2 linked regions of the Mus musculus genome follow. The main gene of each other region encodes a partner of the protein of the gene in region 2 in a complex. Links are inferred from orthologs where the notes say so. Each region holds a gene or a part of one and is shown on either strand. Other genes may lie near its edges. The genes, in order: Ccm2 and Map3k3.

Region 1 (8,092 bases), about 99 Mb from region 2:
AGTGTCCCTTGGTGTCTCCTCATCCTCACCCTGTGGCCCTGTCATCCCCCGGAGTCCCTTCACCTCTCTTTGGCAGCGTGCCCATGTAACCCCTGTCCCGGCTGCCCTGGTCCTTTACTTCCACATGTACCCCGCTGGTGTCCTGGTGGGGTCTCCACTTCAAGGAGAGAATTAGCTGCATGTAAATCGAGAGAGCAGCCAACAGTGTCTTGACTGCCTTGCCTTGGCCTAGGCTCCCATGTCTAGACCCAGGACAGGTGACAGGAGAATTCTGTCAAATACTGTCCTGAAGCCACAATACTGCTGAGGAAAGCATTCATGAGATCCCAGGGACACTGTGGCTTGTGCTGGATACAACTGAGGTGTTCAAAGAGCCCCAAGGGCTCTGCCACAACCATCCCAGGCCTTCTGTCTAGTACACAGAGCTTCCTCCCCAAGTATGGGCAACAGAGGCACGTGACCAGTCTCCTCGGCCTAGCTTTCTAGGGCAGGTCACTGACCCCAGGTCACGTCCCTCCTCTCCTGGTAGCTAGGGGGCTTCACAGGGACTAGAGGGTAGAGGCCAGAATGAAGTTGACAGGAAGTGAGGAGCTGACTGGCAGGGGACAGAGTGAGGGCCACAGGACCCACATCAGCCTTCCAGCAGCCCCGACTCTCAGCTCGTAGGCTGCCCTCTTCCTTATACAGTGCACTTCTGACCATCAAGGAGGCTTAGGGACAGGGACAGAGCATGGGACTGTCCTTGGAATAATCTATACACAGAATGCATAGATCAAGGCAGCCCTGGCGTGTACGAGATACCAACATGCCTGCTCCTGTCCCTTGTCCACAGAGCCAAAACAGAAGTACCAGTCATCTCTTCTACCCCAGCCCAGGATGCTATGGGCAGTCATGATCCAGTAGACAGGGGCCAGAATAGACCCCTCCCCACTTGTGACAACATGGCTTTCAACCAATTAGAATAGGAAAAAAAATGCTTGACAACTGGAGATTAAATTATTCACATTGCAGTAAACTTGTTTTTAAGGTCTCTGAGAAGTAGAAGAGGAAAGTCATGTGCAAATATCAGCTGTCCAGGGCCAGGCCGGCAGGACTGGCTCCCCTGCCAGCTGCCCCTGGCCCTCCCCGAGTGGGGATATGCTACAGGCATTGCTGAGCCCCTGAGGAATAGGCACAGAGGTTTCTGCCCTGTGGGGCACATGTCCTGTGGCAGCTCTCCACTCCTTCACAGTAGAGGACCTGGCCACCAGAGCTACCTTTCTCTTCAGCCCCTCCCTAGCTCCAAGCTGGGAAAGGCTGGCACTCAGGTCTGGGCACTCCTCCCAGGAAGGCCTGGGATGGCTGTGTGAGACAAGTGTGTGCTGTCCCGCTCCTTCACGCTGAGTCCTGGTCCATGCTGCAGCCTAGCGCTTCAATATCACTACTGATGTCTGAAATCATGCGGTCCCACTCATCCCCCTCTGAGGGCGCAGAGCGGTCATCAGGGCTGCCTGTGGTCCTGTTCCCATTGATGGTGGATGTGGAGGTGGTACTCAGGGCACGACGATGCCTACCAAAGCTGTCAGTGATGATGCCACGGCCGTCTTTCACGCCAATGGTCTCCAGGAAGTTTTCAAAGTGCTGACTGTCCTTCTCAGGTATGAAGGGTCTGAGACCTGGCAACACACAACCCGAGAGTGATACCTCAGAGTGACTCCTCAGAGTGACACCCCAGAGGGGCTCAGGACCCCAACCCCAAAGTGACATCTCAGAGGGGCTCAGAACCCCCACCCCAGAGTGACACCTCAGAGGGGCTCAGGACCCCCACCTCAGAGTGACACCTCAGAGGGGGCTCAGGACCCCAACCCCAGAGTGACACCTCAGAGGGGGCTCAGGACCCCAACCCCAGAGGGGGCTCAGGACCCCCACACCACACAAGCTGTGCCCTGGAGCCAGGTTTAATTAAACCTGACTGACAAGGGCCCCAGCTATGAATAGCTTGCCTTCTATCAATCTCACCCTCTAGCTTTGAGGCATGGCATCAGCCATCAGACCCTCGAAGCCCCTATCTAACAGGACAGAATGCAAAAGCCACAAAGCTATTGGCAATGAGGTCTGTCTTCAGAGCCAGGACTCATGCCGAAACCAGTCCTACTCAGGAAGACCATTATCTCAGAATCCCAAACCTTGATGTGGGCAGGCAGGCTGGGCCCCCACCCAGCCAGGATAAGGGTTTCATGAACACATCAGATGAGTTTACAGACCGCATTCTCCTGAGGTGGAGCCTTTAAGAGAACCCTGACATATCATGTTCACTACTAATTTCAGAACGCAGGAAACAGAAGCTAAGGCGCTCAAGGTCACCCTCCCCTACACAGAGAGTTTGAGGCCAGCCTGACCTGCATGAGACTCTGTATTCCTACAAAAGCCTGCTTAGGTGGGGGCCAGGAGGTGGTAGAGAGGCCTAGAAACAGTGCCAGACACAGGACTCTAAGCAGCAGGTATCCACAGCTCAACTTTCTTCCAACCTACTTTTTCTGAGATTCTTACTATATAGCTCAAAGCTAATCTTGAACTTGCTATCCTCCTGCCTCACGTCTCCTAAGTGCTCAGATTACATCTGGGTCCTGTCGTGCCTGGCTCTGTTGCCATTTCGGACATAGAGGTAGCAGCCGAGAACAAAATGGGAAGAAGCTGGCTTCAGGCTTCTGAATGTTCATTCTGGGCTAGATGCCAGGGACCTGGAATGTGAGCCTTGCTGGGTACCTGATCCTGCAGGGAGTGAGGTGCTCAGACTACGTCTAGTCTCTAGTCCTTCCTCACCACAGACAGCCCCAGGTAGATGCTGATGCTGATGCTCACCGGGCCTATACAACATAAGACCAGCTGGCCTCCCTGGTTTACTAGAGCACAGGAAGACCCTCAGAGCTTTCTGTGAGCTGAGCCATTCACTGTTCTGACTGCTGGAAGCAGGGGACGACACAGAGGGGAGGCTGATGTGGCAGCACTGTTCCTTCCACCGAGGCTGTTGTGGCAGCCTTACACCGAGACTGGCAGTGGCTCTGAAGGATGTGCCAGGCACTTTGTGAGTCTTGCACAAAGATGTACAAGAGAGGCGCCTTCTGTCTAGTTGGTGTCTTTGCTTCTCCACTCAACAAATTTCTACCTGTTCCCCAAAACCCACTGACAAAGGTACCCCCTTAAAGAGCCTGGACTCTTGCCAGCAGCACAGTTGAGATCTGATGGTTTTGTTTAGACTCAGTCTCAGGGCCTTCTCTCACTTCCTGGCAGAGCCCAACCAGCTCAGCTCAAGGCTCAGGCTCTGAGTAGAAGGAGAAGGGCCCTTCCAAGTACCTATGCCAGTCCTGCAGCCTCAGCCAAGCTATGATGAGACCCATGGGATGGAGCTCCTCCCTTCTGGACTCTGCACATTCCCAGAGGGGACCAGCGGCCCTCCGTGCCCCACTCACCAAGTAGCAGGAACTTGCGGCTGTCCCCATAGAGCTGCCGCAGGCTGATGCAAAACTCATGGATAGAGGCCCCATTGCGGTACTCATGTAGCAGAGCTGCGAACTGCTGGATCTCCTGTGATGACAGCTTCGTACGTAACTGTGAGGGAACAGAAGTGCAGAGTAAGGAGGGCTTAGTGTGGCCTTGCTGTAGAGGTAGAATGCCACCATGTGTCTGTCATCAGGGCCAACAGAGGAGCTACACAAGGAACCAGGGCAAACACAGATCTGCTGTCTTGAAACAAAAGGTTCCTCAGTAGGGCTAAAGAGAATGAAGCTAGCTCTGCGTGGAACAGCAAGGGTACACAGGGTGACCTGGGGGTACACAGAACCAGAAGGCTGACTTCAAACAGAGGCATCAGGCCCAGGCACCAGCAGAGCTGCTGTTTCGAATCAGTACCAGCATGGTCCAGACCAAACAGCCTAGCACCAACTCAGGCCCCCAGACCTCCCCCGCCCCCCCAGACCCAATAGTAAAGCCAGGCGAGTGAGGAGGCCACTGCCTACCGTGAGCATGTAGTCCTGCAGCAGTTCCGTGGCGCTGGTGCTCAGCTCGCTCTCACTGACAGTCTTGCTATGGGGTGATGTCTGCATGCAGAAGGGTAAGGGCGGCAGGCCTCCCACATCCCCAGAGTCCGGGAAGCAGCTGCAAAGCACAAGGTTCAATGTGGGTGGCCTCACAACCCAACCTCCTGTGGCTGCTGTGGGCTGGGGCCGACAGGCCTGCTCACAAATACAAGCACGAACACCGACTAAGGAGGACTGCTTGTGCATAAGCCACACATGGAGATAAAGGAGATCTCAGGAGCCAGCCAACCTGAGTGACTCTCAAATGGGCAAAGGGAGGGAGAGCTAGGGCAGAAGGCCGAGCCAGAGCTGACAGACAGCAGTAGAGGGTCAGGAAGGCTGCGCGAATGCTCTGGCTGGGCTAACAGGCTTTAGAAGGCTGCCCGGCATCACCATTTTGTGCCTTTTCCAAGGTTACTTCTGTGGAAGGTAGGGATGAGAAAGGACTGACAGGGCCTAGAGGCAGACTCTGTAGCTAAGAGGACTTGCAGGGCCAAGCTAGAGAGCAGACACGGAAGACCCAGCATTTGATGACGCACTTAGTGCGTGTACTCACAAGGTGCTGGCGTCAGCATCGTAACTGTCCTTCATGTCCACTTTCGTGGAAGAGTCATCTGTGCAAAAGACGTAGAGGACACAGAGGGTGAGAACTGCTGCCCTAGAGGCTTCCTTAATCTTCACCACACGTATATCTCTGCCTTTCCCAATGGCCTCGCCTCCCACTGACACACAGGAAGCCATGTTGAGCTCTCCCTCACATGACAGCCTCACCCAGCGCCACAGGCTGAGCAGGTGCGGAATTCAGCCTTTCATTGTGCAGACGGACTGCTGGACTACCCAGCCTGTGTTGTGTGGGCCAATCCAATGAACCCCCTTGTAGTATATATTCATTCTGTGGGTTTGTTCCCTAAAGAACACTAACAGATTATAGTATCAGGATAGGGCCTTTGCAGAAACAAACCTGAGTGTGTGGTTCATAGGCCTTGGAAACTGGCCGGTAGGAAGAATGTGGAAGAGCCTAGAACTTAGGGCTTAATGGGACACTCTGGTAGCAGTTTGGAAAACCAGAATGGTGACAGAAATGGACATGGTGAAAACTGCTCATATGTTTCAGGTATGGAATAGGCTCTATTGGGAACTAGGTTAAAGGCCATTCAGGTTACACCCTGGTATAGGAGCTGGTAGCACTCTGCTCATGTCCTGAACTAATGTATTTATGTAACAGGAAATTTCAAGGTGGAACAGCATTAGGCTTCAGTGAGGGTACTGCTCACCACTCTACCCAGGAGGACAGGAAGACCTCAAATAAAGCTGAAGAGACTTTGTGTTCCTTGAAAACAATTACCCAACAAAGTGTATGCTGCTGCCATGGTGGTCCATGAGGTCCAAGAGCTGGGGTACAACTTGACAGTACTGTCCACATGGTATTGGTGATAGAGGCATGAAAAATGCAAGACTGAGGGGCCGTGGTAACTTATACCATGGTTCCAGAAAGCTGCTAAAGCCAAGCAACATTTAGCAGGATCAGAACCCTACAAGGAAGCCCAGGGATGAGACACCACGGTTTGGGGCTGTGAAGGTAAAGCCTACGTTGCAGCACAGACCTCAGGATGTTGCAGAGGCCAGAAACTAAGGCATGTCTGTGAAAGAAAGCTAGATTGTTGATCGTAGCCATCCCAGGAAAGAGGCTGTGAGCTGCAGACAAAAAAAGCCAGAGACCCTTGGAGCTGGGGCTATCCCACCATGTGCCCAGATACTGTTGCTTCCCACTTGGTTTTGGTCTTACAGATCTTTGATCTTTCCCTGCTCTGCCCCATCCTTCCTTTTGGAGGGAAAATGTTCACCCTGTGCCACTGTGTCCTAGAAGTGGATTCAAAGTATGTAACCTGGCTTTGGTAAAGGTCTGTCATGTGTTCTGGGGAGAGACTGGACTTTTGAACAGTACTGGGACTGTCAAGGGCCACAGGGACTTCTGAAGTTAGAATGAATTCATTTTGCATCACTTGACTGCCATTTGCATGCTGGGATGGGCCTCCAGCAACTGGTTTGAATGTCAACTGTTTCCCACAGGTTGTTTCAACACTCATGGGTTTGAACGTTTAATCTCCAACTGGTGGCACTGTATGAGAAATCTATGGAGTTTTGCTGAAGAAAGGGGTCACTAGCTTTGATGTGTTGCAACCTAGCCCCACTTGCTCCTCTCCCTCCTGGTTTCCCAACCACAAATGCTACAGAGCCTTCTGACACCTGCCACCATGCCTCCCCCTCCAGCTGTGGCTTCCTCATCATGAGGGGAGGCCATAACCATCCCTCCCTCACACTGCACCTTGTTAGGTATTAGGTACCGCAGTGAGAAATGTAACTCAGGTAAGAAGTGTGCTACTGTAAAACAGGGTCTGCCTACGTAGCCCAGGCTGGTCTCAAACTTGTAGCAATCCTCCTGCCTCTATCTCCTGGGTTCTAGGATAACAGATATGTCACCACACCCAGACAGGAAGTATCTACAGACTAGCAGGAGGTCTGCACAGCACTTCCACTAGCCTTTATCGTGGTGCAGAGGTACGGCCCTGCCACTCTCCAGTTTCCTGGTCTCGGCCTTTCACAAAGCCAGAACAACTTCAAGCATCTCGCTGTGCTCTTGCAAGGGGCCACACGCTGAGAGCTGCTCGGGCATACCAAAAGGCCCCCAAAACGGGCCCCACCTACCCAGTTCCCCAGCATCCCTGTCTGGGAACCTATGCTTCCAGATGAACTGCTCATGACCCCTAGCCGGCCCCTTCCATTCAACATACCACTGTGCAGCGACAGGTGGTGGGTAGGTGTGGAAGCCCCATCAAATATTGCTCGGTCCAGAAAGTCGATGGTGGACTCCGTGTAAACAATCTGGAAGACCTGGCTGAGCAGGGAGCACAACTCTTCAGCGGCGACCTAGAGTGAGTGAATAACAGCAACCGTCCTCAGTGGCTAACGCTGCAGACAGCACTTTCCCACAGTCTCTAGGGTACCCATAATGTCTCAGAGGCACCAACAATATAAATGGGGAGCAGACCAGAACCAAAGGGCCCAGTGCCTGTCACAGCCCAGGGTATCACAAAACAGAAACAGGCCTGAGAAGAGACTATGGCCCAGTGTGGCCCTTACAGGCATCTGAAGGCCACGGGTGTTGGCATCAGCTTTGCCTCCTCTTCCGGTAACTGGTCATCAATGTTCAAAATTCCCATCTAAGCCCAAGTAAGAGAGAGAAGACATCCTGGTCTCACTTCCAACCTTAGACATTTCCAAAAGAAGTAGCGTCCTTCTGTAACAGTGTGCTGTTTAAAACAGGGCTTCTTTAGAGGGTTAATTTTGTCCAGAACCGTAGAACAGTATCTGGGGACATTGCTCAGACTCTGCAGTGCTTCGGTAGCTGCCCACAACAAAGTATTTGATTGAGAGCATCACTAGCACGTAGGCTAAGTGAGGTGAGCCAGAGGACATTTAGGTGGGAAGTCACCATTAGTCAATGAAAGCAAGAGGCAAAAACTGCATGGAAGATGTCAAGTGAGTCCTGAGGCTCCACGGCTCATCTTTGTGCCGCTGTGACTGCCATGTGCTGAGGAAACGCTATCTTTGTTTGAAGTACCAGGAGGGCGTGGTATACAGGTCGCCATGCCTGTAGCCATCACTATCAGTCAGTGTGAGAGTGGGGAGAGGCATTCCAAAGAGGAGACTGGTAAGCAAACGCTCTACTGACCATCTTGGGGATGGTGCTTGAGGACTGGCCAAGAGAGCCTATGGGCAAGGCTGGCAGAGGGGAGTGAGGTAGATGAACTGGGTATGGGAGGTACCCTCTGGAACCTGGGAGTGTGGGCAGCTGTGGTTATAGGTAGGGACATTTATTAGGTCATGGACAGGGCTTGGTCAGGGAGAAACTCTGGGAAGGGACAATGTGTGAAGTAGTGCTAGACAGAGCAGAAGGAAGGGCTGGCTAGAGCCAGGATTCTAAGGCTGGCGTCGGATCTTGGGTAGGGCTGGGCTAGAGGCAAGGCAGCCTCTAA
Region 2 (9,531 bases):
GAAGGACTGAGACTGGGAGCAGAAATGGAGTACACTCACCACAAAGAACATAGTACACATACGACTGTGTGGGGAGGGAGACAGGGAGGGGAATGTCTTAGTTTGGGTTTTACAGCTGTGAACAGACACTATGACCAAGGTAACTCTTATAAGGACAATATTTAATTGGGGCTGGCTGACAGATTCAGAGGTTCAGTCCATTATCATCAAGGCAGGACACATGGCAGCATCCAGGCAGGCATGTTGCAGGCAGAGCTGAGAGTTCCACATCTTCGTCTGAAGGCTGCTAACAGAATACTGGCTTCCAGGCAGCTAGGATGAGGGTCTTATAGCACACATCCACAGTGACACATCTACTCCAACAAGGCCACACCTTCTAATAGTGCCACTCCCTGGGCCGAGCATATGCAAACCATCACGGGGAATGGATTGAAAAGTTGAGATTGATTTGAGGAATTTTTAGTGTGGCTGCAGCATGGACTTGGGGTGAGAATACTTTGTTACCTCTTTCACATTTGATTCTTTTTTTTTTTTTTTAAATGATCGGTACATGCGTGTGCCTGGTTTATATTTGTGTATGACAACATGCATGCATGGTACTTGTGGAGTTGAAATGAGGGCCCATCCCCTAGAGTTGGATTTACAAGCAGCTGTGAGCTGACCAATGTGGGTGATGGTAACTGAACCTGGGCTCTCTTCTCTGCAAGAGCAACAAGCACTCTTTACTGCTGAGCTCTCTCTCCAGCCCCTATTTGACTCATCTTAAAACTGATGGGTTATAATATTTGTAAATAGGGTTCTCTAGGATCATGTTTCTGATAGAAAGTCTGTGGTGTGAATACACTTTAAGTAAATGAAGTAAGAGATGTTGATGGTTTGAACTGGGCTAGCGGAGCTAGGGTGAAAGAGAGGCAGAAGGACTGGAGACCTGATCACTCGGTGTCTTCCTTGGGGAACTGATGAGCAGAGGAAATGTGAACAGTGGAGGGAAGCGATGGGTTCAGTTTGGACCTGTAGAATGTGAGGTGCCTGTGGAATGCTCAGGAATGTTGCCTCGGGAGCTTAGAACCAAGACCTGCCTGAGCTGGAATCCTCAGCACACAGGGTAACTGCAGCATGGAAATGTTTGACTTCAGTGGCTGAGGGACAAACAGTGGGAATCGAATTCACAAGAAAGGCATCTGAAGGAAAGGCAGAAAGAGGAAGCTTACTAGCTCAGTCATTGGAGAGGCTAAGTGAGATTACATGGCTGGGATCTAGTAAATAGCTGGTGTTTTTCCCTATTGTTTCTTCACCAGAAAAAAAAAAAAAGATTATTCTATTTCAGGCACTTCAGTAAATTAGGGACTTCTTTGTTTTGTTTGTTTGTTTGAGACAGGGTTTCTCTGTGTAACCCTGGCTGTTCTGGAACTCACTCTGTAGACCAGGCTGGCCTCAAACTCTGAAATCTGCCTGCCTCTGCCTCTACCTTCCAAGTGCTGGGATTAAAGGCGTTCACCATCATTACCCGGCATAAATTAGGGACTTAATCAAGTGAGAATATGAGACTTGAGAGTTTGAAGAAAAACGAGTTAGATACAGTGGCACAGGCCTTTAATTTTAATCCCAGTACTCAGGGGGTAGAGGCAGATAGATCTGTGAGTTTCAGACCAGACTACAAAGAAGTTCCAGGACTACAGAGAAACCCTGTCTCGGAAAACAAAAAAACAAAAAAACAAAAAAAAAAGTTCCAGGACAGTCTAGGTTAGAGACTCTGTCTCAAACAACAAACACCTCGTACACACACACACACACACACACACACACACACACACACGAGAGAGAGAGAGAGAGAGAGAGAGAGAGAGAGAGAGAGAGAGAGAGGACAATAAAGTTAATAGTATGGGTTGAGAGTGGGGATGAAGAAAAAGAATTGCGTAAGACACTCCTTAAGAGATCTGATACTCCAAAGCCACCTCCTAAGGTAAGTGTTTCTAAATGACAACTGAAAATGGCATCAGATTTTTCTGGAATCTGAAATATGTCATTGGAACTGTCTCCAGAGAAAGGGAAGCCACACTAACTGTGGTAGAGTTGGAATCTTAAGACTGGGTGTATGAATTATTGAAACAATGGAGGTTGAAAAAGTTAATCACAATGCTCTTTTGAAAGATCACACAGCCAGTACAATTGTTTTGAGACAATATTTAGTGGCACAGGAAGCACAAAAGTGTAAGCACACCAGAAAACAATATGAAGTTATTTTTTGTCTAACGTTGCATATCTAGGTAGGAAATAGATAAAACTATCTTCAGGGTAGGGCTTTTCTTTCTGTTTTCCTGCACTTTTAAGTTTTCTTTTAAAAACGTGTCTCGCTTTTATAATTCTAAGAGCAAAACTTGTCCAAAAGCAACTCTAGCAGAACTCAGAATGTGGGGACCCACATTCCAGCACTAGCCTAGCCTTTGAAGACGGAGTATCAGGTGTGGCCTCGGAGGTCTGAGACCCAGGGGGATGAGAGAAGTAACAAGACCATCCCCCTGCCTGTAAGCCGAGGCTACTCAGGGTATCGCGCAGCTCAAGTAGCCTGAAAGCATCGAGCCAAACCTTCCCTGCCCAATCCGCGCCAGACACTTTGCCCCAGCAGGGGCCGGACACCTCAGCACCTCGAGGTCGCCAACAACCGACAACCATAGGGCCGAAGGTTTTCTTTTTCTGAGGGCCTCTACAGAAGACGACTTTGCAAGGCGCCAGGCCGGGGTAGCCGCCGAGGGGAACGGCGCCAGCCCGCGCGCCCGCCGAGGGTTCCGCAACTGAGCAGAGGGTTGTGGGCGGAGCCTCAAGCCGGAGCAGTGATTGGAGCAGCCCACACCTTGGCCAGAGAGGCTGAGAGCGCCAGCTAGCGACACTCCGCGGCGGGTACTCAGCGCTCTCTCCGTGATTGGCTAGGCGCGAGAGGACGGGCGCTGTCTCAGTGATTGGCAGGCTCTAGCCAGCCCTCGGAAATCGCCTTGACTTCGCCCATTGGCATCCTGTGAGAGTAGGCGGGATTGGTCCGTCGTGATTAGCTGGCGGATGAGAGTGAGGGCGTTGGGAGAGAGCGGGGAGGAGGAGGCGGGAGTATCTGACTTCCTCCTGGTTATTGGCTGGTAATGAGAGTGGGGGTAGTGCCAAGGCCCAGCGGCTGCATGCGATTGGCAGATGCTGGCATGAGTGACAGGCTGCAAGGCTTGCTGCGCGCCCAGCGGTTTGTTTTTCGGAGCGTTCCTGAGGTGGAGAACAGTGGCCGGTCGGAGCGTCTTCTGGACTTCAGGACTCGCAGGCGGCCCGGTCGAGTGGCGCCGCCGAGGCCGGGTTGGGCCGAGCCTGGGAGCGCCGGGGATGTAGCGGGCCAACCTGCTCATGCCACAGCGCCCGGCCGCGGCCGGAGCCGGAGCCTGGGGAGGCGGCGGGGGCCCCGAGCGCAGCCCACGGCCCCCGCGCGGAGCCAGGCCCGCTGCCGTCCCCGCCGCCCGCTCCCCCGGCATGCAGCCCCGGCTGCGGAGGTGACACTTCTGGGCTGTAGTCGCCACCGCCGCCTCCGCCATCGCCACCATGGGTGAGTACCGCCACCGCCCCGGCCTGTGCCCGCGCTGCTTCGCGACGCCCCGCCCCAGGCTGAGGGGAGGAGGACCCTGGGCCGCCGCCTGACAAGGCATGGACAGTTCGCCGGGCCCGGGGCTGAGGATCGCGGACCGCTCGCCTCTCCGCGGTGCCTCGATCGGGGCGCCGTTCTGGCTACCTCCGGGGGTGCCCTACCGGCCAAACCCACTCGGCAACTCTCTTTCCGGGCATGCGGCCGGCGTATCCCGGGGAGGGGTCTGCGGGACCGAGGCCCGTCGGGCGGCCCACTGCGGTCCCCAGCGAGCTGGCGCGCGAGCTTGAGGGTGGGGGAGCCGGAGCTCAGTGTGGGGCCGGGGCTGGAGCCTGGTGCAGGCCCAGCTGCTGTTGTGTCTTTTCCTTGATTTGCTTTTTTTTTTTTTTTTTTTTCCTGCCTGTGTCATTTCCTTCCCTTTGCTCACACAGGCTGGCCTGTGAGTTCCCGGGGCTTTGCTCTGGAGCTCTGTGCGCTCTCCTGCGCGGGGGAGGGGGACGCGGGGGGAGGGTATGCGGGGCATCCACTGCGACGCTATTCGACGCGGATCCCTGTTAGCAATAGCAGGCTTGAGAAATGCGAGCTGCGCTCCTCGCAGATTACTGGAAGTTAAGAATCCTTGAGCGCTGAGGGTTATAACTCAAACCCTACTTTTGGAAAAACCCGGCTTTTATATTTATCCTGCGCTACCCCTGCAACTATGTAACTTTTTGAAAGAGGCATTCGGTACATAAAAGGATCACTATGAAATCATTTCCTTTTTGTCAGTATTTGTAATTCTCCTGTGAAGATGTAATCTAAGAAAAGTTTTTTTAATGCCTTCTACAAAATATTTGAGCTGTTTTATATATATTTTGCATAATTTTGGTTCTTTATCAAAAAGTCTTGGACTTAGCTAAGGAATGTGTGACATTTTAAATATATTTTGCTTCCCCAGTTGGGGCAGGTATTGTGATGCTCATTTTCCTGGTCTCAATCAGGTTTTGCAAAAATATTTAGTATTATTCTAAGTCAGAAAGGGGTGAAATTTAGTGAAAGTCTCCTTTGCAGAAGTATTCATTGCTTGTGTGAGTGCTCCATAAGATGAAATGCTAATGTTTGTTTTGCCCTAAAGCAAGGTCAAGTCATTTTTGTAGGAGGTTTTGTGGGTGCAGTAGCAAATTGGCCAGATACTCGATTGTGGTGGAACTCCTTACTCTGGCTTTAAGTTAATTGCTTTGTTCTTTATCAGACTGCCCCTCATACAGTATGGGAAGGATTTGTTCATTTGCTGGGTTTTCTATTCCCTTTCCATGCTATATTTCAGATTTTTTTTTCTATAGAACTCTCATCTGAGAGACACCAAAGGAAACTAGTAAGGATTTACATTTCAACATTTATTTATTCACATGTCTAATACAATATATTCCAATAAATGTTTATGGAATGCTTATTATATGGGGCACATATTTCCTTATATATTATTGGGGAACAGAATTCTTTTTATCCTTCCCTGTTTCCCCACATTTACCTACTGCTACAGACTTTAAGCTAGATCTTTGAATTATGGACCTGTATTGTAATAGTCTTATACGCTTTCCTTCTTGCCCGGTGTGTGAGCCTTAAGTCGCAAACGGGAGTATGAGACCCTTGAGGATATACAGACCTCACATGGAACACTTTGGTTGTAAAACCAGTGTGTGAGTATCCAATAATGACGGCAACGTCTCATTATCTAGTATGAAAATAGAGGAGAGCCTGTTTTCAAATTTGAAGATGTTTTCAGCTAGTGTATGAACATGTTTTCGGAAAGGCCTTGCTGGGAGGAAAGAAACTCCGTGGGTAAAGTCCCAAAGGAAAAAGAACAGGGAGCATGGTGTCTTTTTATTTGAGCCCATGTCACTTTTTAAATGTATTTGTGTTTCCAGTGCTGGGCATCAAACCTAAGTCTTGTGAAGGCTAGGCAGGCATCTGTCACTGAGCTCCGTCCCTAGCATTCTCTTAAATACCTTTGCTTTCCTCTCTCTGTCTTTCTCTCACATTTAAAAAATTATTTATTTTTATTTCATCTGCATTGGTGTTTTGCTTGCATGTATACCTGTGTGAGGGTGTGAGCTACAGACAGTTTTGAGCTGCTATGTGTGTGCTGGGAATTGAACCCAAGTTGTCTGGAAGATCACCCTGTATGTCTTCTTAACTTCTAAGCCATCTCTCTAGCTCTTTCTTTCTTCCTTTTTTGTTTTTGTTGTTTGTTGTTGTTCTGAGATAGTCTTCTTGTGTAGTCCTAGCTACCCTGGAACTTGCTGTGTAGACCAGGCTGTTCTTAAATTTATTGTAATTCCTGTTTCCTCAGAACCTAATAAACAAACAAACTCAAACATTTAATAAAGAAGAATCTAATTTCTTAATATTTTCATTACATTTAAACTCCAGGCCAGTGACTAGAGGCTAAAATTAATTTGCATATCTGCTCTGCAGATACTTTAATCCATAGTCATATTTTCCTGAGTGGTTCTATGCTCCAGACTGAAGCCTGTTTGACAACTTGACTTATTAGTAAAAACAGGTCAGATTTTATATTGTCTGTTAGCCTCAGCAAAAGTCTAGTGGATGCTGCAACTTATCCTTGTAAAAAGTGGGAAATCTTTGTTTAGTTTTTTGGCTTTGAAACTGTGTGACTATTGAAAAATTTTTTTTCTTGGACATACTAGAATTTCCTCCAGTAATTATAGTAATGCTGTTAATAATTCCTGGGACTTATTTGTTCTTGTTTATTTGTTCTTTTTCTAAATATAACTTGAAGCTTAGGGGAATGTATTAAAACTGGGTAAGGACTTGGAAATATTACAGGAATCTAGGGAACTGAATACAGGATTAAAAATGGTTGGTTCTGGATTGACAACTTGGTTTGAATTGTAATAATTATAACTTACAGAACTAGGTTTGAGTTTTTATGGTTCCAAGGCTTTTGGGAGAACCTAAGAACAGTCTCAATATGTCTAGACTGTAGTAAGCTCAGCATGATTAACAACTGTTTTGAGAGAATCTTGAATCACAGTTTAATAAATTAACATGCCTATATCATGAGTAGATTTTGATTTTTCTTTCCTTTTTGTTGTTGTTGTTCTCCTCCTCCTCTTCTTCCTCTTCCTCCTCCTCCTCCTCCTTCTTTTTTAGGGTTTATTTTTATGGGGCTGGAGAGATGGCTCAGTGGTTAAGAACACTGACTGCTCTTCCAGAGGTCCTGAGCGCAATTCCCTTACAACCATCTGTAATGGGATTCGATGTCCTCTTCTGTTGTGTCTGAAGACAGTTTTTTTTTTTTTTTAAGATTTATTTTTATTTATATGCATGTGTTTGTGTGAATGTCAAAAGAGAGATCTATCAAAGCTGGAGTTGCAGGAAGTTGTGAGCTGCATGATGAGGGTGAGGGTGCTAGGAGCTGAGCTCAGGTCCTTTAGAAAAGTGGGACAAGCTCTTACCCGCTGAATGACCTCTCCTGCTCCTGATTCTTGTTTTTGAGACAGGATCTCAGGGCATCCATACATGTCTCGTGTAGAATTTTGACGTAGTATTAAATTATTTCTTTTAACGTGTAATGTGTTTTACCTGCAAGTGTGTGTGTGTGTGTGTGTGTGTGTGTGTATGTGTGTGTGTGTGTACATACTACATGTGGGCCTGGAGCCCTCAGTCTGGAAGGGGATGTCAGATCCCATGAAACTAGAATAACATACTGTTGTGAGCTGGCATGTAGGTGCTGGGAATTAAGCCTCTGTTCTCTGGAAGAACAGCCAGAGCTCTTAACTGCTGAGCCATCTCTCCCAGCCCTGACTTTTGATATTTTTTTAAATGACAGTTGTGGGTGGAAAAGACAGTTTAGTGAGTAAGAGTGCTTGCCCAGCAAGCATAAAGACCTGAGTCTGAGTCTGTGGCATCTGCATTAAAAGCTAGGAAAGGCTTTAACCTGTAACCCCAGCATTGGGGGAGAAGGCATGTAGCTCTTGAGAGCTCCCTGTTTGGCTAACCAGCTTAGCTGAAATGGTGTACTTCCAGTTCAGTGAGGGACCCCATTTTAAGACAGAAAGGTAAAGCGCACCAAGTGTTCTGCTCTCCACATGTATATGCACAGGTGAGCCCCTCATGTGCACACCCACAAGTACACAAAAAAATTAAGGATAAATAAATGAAAAATAAAAAATGATAGTGTGCAATTGTTCACAAGAAGAGACCATTCTGTATTTTAAGAGTTGGGACACACACACACACAAAACACACATGTAATATAATATAGTCTCTAGTCTTTTAAGTTAGTTTCACCAAGTGTTAAAATATAATGACAAAGGGCTGGCTTAGTAAGGTGCTTGCTATGCAAGTGTGAAGACTTGAGGTTTAAATCCCTGTTACCTATGTGAAAAGCCAGGCGTGGTGACTTGTGCCTGGGCAGGTCTTCAGGAGGATTCCTGGTGCCTGCTGGCCAGCCATCCTACATGAGTGAGAGATCCTGTTCCCCAAAGTTTGGAGAGATGTACAGGAAGATGCCTGATATCAACCTTTGACTTAGAGAGGCACATGCACAAGACCTGCAGATGCATACACACAAAGGGTGTAAAGTGGTGATTCTATTGATTCTTACTAGCAAGCAGTGCTTTACTTTGTAATATGCATTTGAGCCATTAACTTTGGTAGATTGTTATATCTCCTAGTAATAGAACAATACACATTTAACTTTTTGGTTTTTTGAGACAGGGTTTCTCTGTATAGCCCTGGCTATCCTGGAACTCACTCTGTAGACCAGGCTGGCCTCGAACTCAGAAATCCGCCTGCCTCTGCCTCCCAAGTGCTGGGATTAAAGGTGTGCGCCACCACGCCCGGCTATATTTAACTTTTAAATAAAAAAATTAAATACTGTACTTTTAAAAGTTTTCATTATCTTTAAAATTTTGAAGAAGAGTTGAGACAGTCTTAACCTGTAGCTGGCTGGCCTACAGCTCACTATGTAGAGCAGCGTAGCTTGGAATTCACAGAGATCTGCCTGCCTCTGCTTCCTAGTTGGTAGGGTTACATATGTGAGTCGCCACTCTTGGCTTCAACCATTGTCTGTTGTTGTTGTTGTTTTTTTTTTAAACTGGGTCTCATGTGGCCTACACTTGGCTCAAACTAAACTTGCCCATGAACTGGTATGCACTGTGCTTGGCTGAACCATGTTTTTTTAAAAGTGTGTCTATCTGTGTGAGTGTGTGTGCAAGAGTGTGTGTGTGTGCACCAACATGTGGAGGTTAAAGGACAGCTTTTGTGAGTCACTTCTTTTCTTCCACAGTGGATCTAAGCATTAGGCTTGCATGGCAAGAGATTTTAAAGGCTGAGTCCCTCACCCTTGTTCTTGAAGAAGAAATTTTTTTGGATCGAAGATGGGGTTTGGTTGTGCATACTTACTGTAAATTATTTTTGCCAGTGAGGAGGCCAGACCTGGGAGGACTGGGAAGTAAGTGTGGTGGGGTGCATGCTGTCAGATTCCCAAACAATCAATAAAAATATAATGGAAAATTTTTTTTTTGTCTGAATATGGTCAGCGTAGAGGCAGTGGAAATACATGAAATGTCATGAAGAGAAAGTAAAATCTGACTCAGGGACTCTGGAGCACAGACTCTTGAGTTGAACAGTATGATCAGATGACCTGGCAGAGCTAAGACAGAGCCTTGGCAAGATGAAGAAATAACATCATTACTTAAGTGAAAACAAAAATTGAAATTACTTTAGACTGGGTGTGGCAGAGCACTCCTTTAATTCCAGCACTTGGGAGAAAGGCAGGTGGTAAACCTGGTCTGAATAGCAAGTTCCAGGACAGCCAGGGCCACCTTGTCTTAAAAAACTGCGACCAACAAAATATTACTTTGGGGATTTGTAAATGTGGAAAAGAGATTGTTTGTCTGTAGGATGAC

The links.
Region 1: the proteins of Map3k3 (region 2) and Ccm2 are in contact, whole or in part, in a crystal structure (PDB 4Y5O), measured with the Homo sapiens proteins. The link is inferred for Mus musculus from reciprocal best matches to the Homo sapiens genes MAP3K3 and CCM2. Residues at the interface, in NP_002392.2 of Homo sapiens: Asp2, Glu3, Gln4, Ala6, Leu7, Ser9, Ile10, Met11, Asn12, Asp13, Leu14, Val15, Ala16, Leu17, Glu50, Asp82, His84, Met86, Asn88, Glu89, Leu90, Ser91, Ile92, Leu93, Arg117, Leu119, Leu121, Ser122, Gln123, Asp124; in NP_113631.1 of Homo sapiens: Leu299, Tyr302, Met303, Leu306, Arg307, Ser312, Gln313, Ile315, Gln316, Gln317, Phe318, Ala319, Ala320, Leu321, Leu322, His323, Glu324, Arg326, Glu333, Ile336, Asn337, Gln340, Leu341, Leu353, Phe356, Pro358.

What each region holds. Positions count from the first base shown.
Region 1 is NC_000077.6:6,589,644-6,597,735, reverse strand, and holds the end of Ccm2 (cerebral cavernous malformations protein 2 homolog), read right to left. Parts: intron 6,984-8,092; coding exon 6,848-6,983; intron 4,670-6,847; coding exon 4,612-4,669; intron 4,135-4,611; coding exon 3,996-4,134; intron 3,589-3,995; coding exon 3,450-3,588; intron 1,656-3,449; coding exon 1,375-1,655; 3' UTR 975-1,374; downstream 1-974. UniProt on the Homo sapiens protein: Component of the CCM signaling pathway which is a crucial regulator of heart and vessel formation and integrity. May act through the stabilization of endothelial cell junctions. May function as a scaffold protein for MAP2K3-MAP3K3 signaling.
Region 2 is NC_000077.6:106,081,357-106,090,887, forward strand, and holds the start of Map3k3 (mitogen-activated protein kinase kinase kinase 3), read left to right. Parts: upstream 1-3,230; 5' UTR 3,231-3,573; coding exon 3,574-3,577; intron 3,578-3,605; exon of another isoform or gene 3,606-5,292; intron 5,293-9,531. UniProt on the Homo sapiens protein: Component of a protein kinase signal transduction cascade. Mediates activation of the NF-kappa-B, AP1 and DDIT3 transcriptional regulators.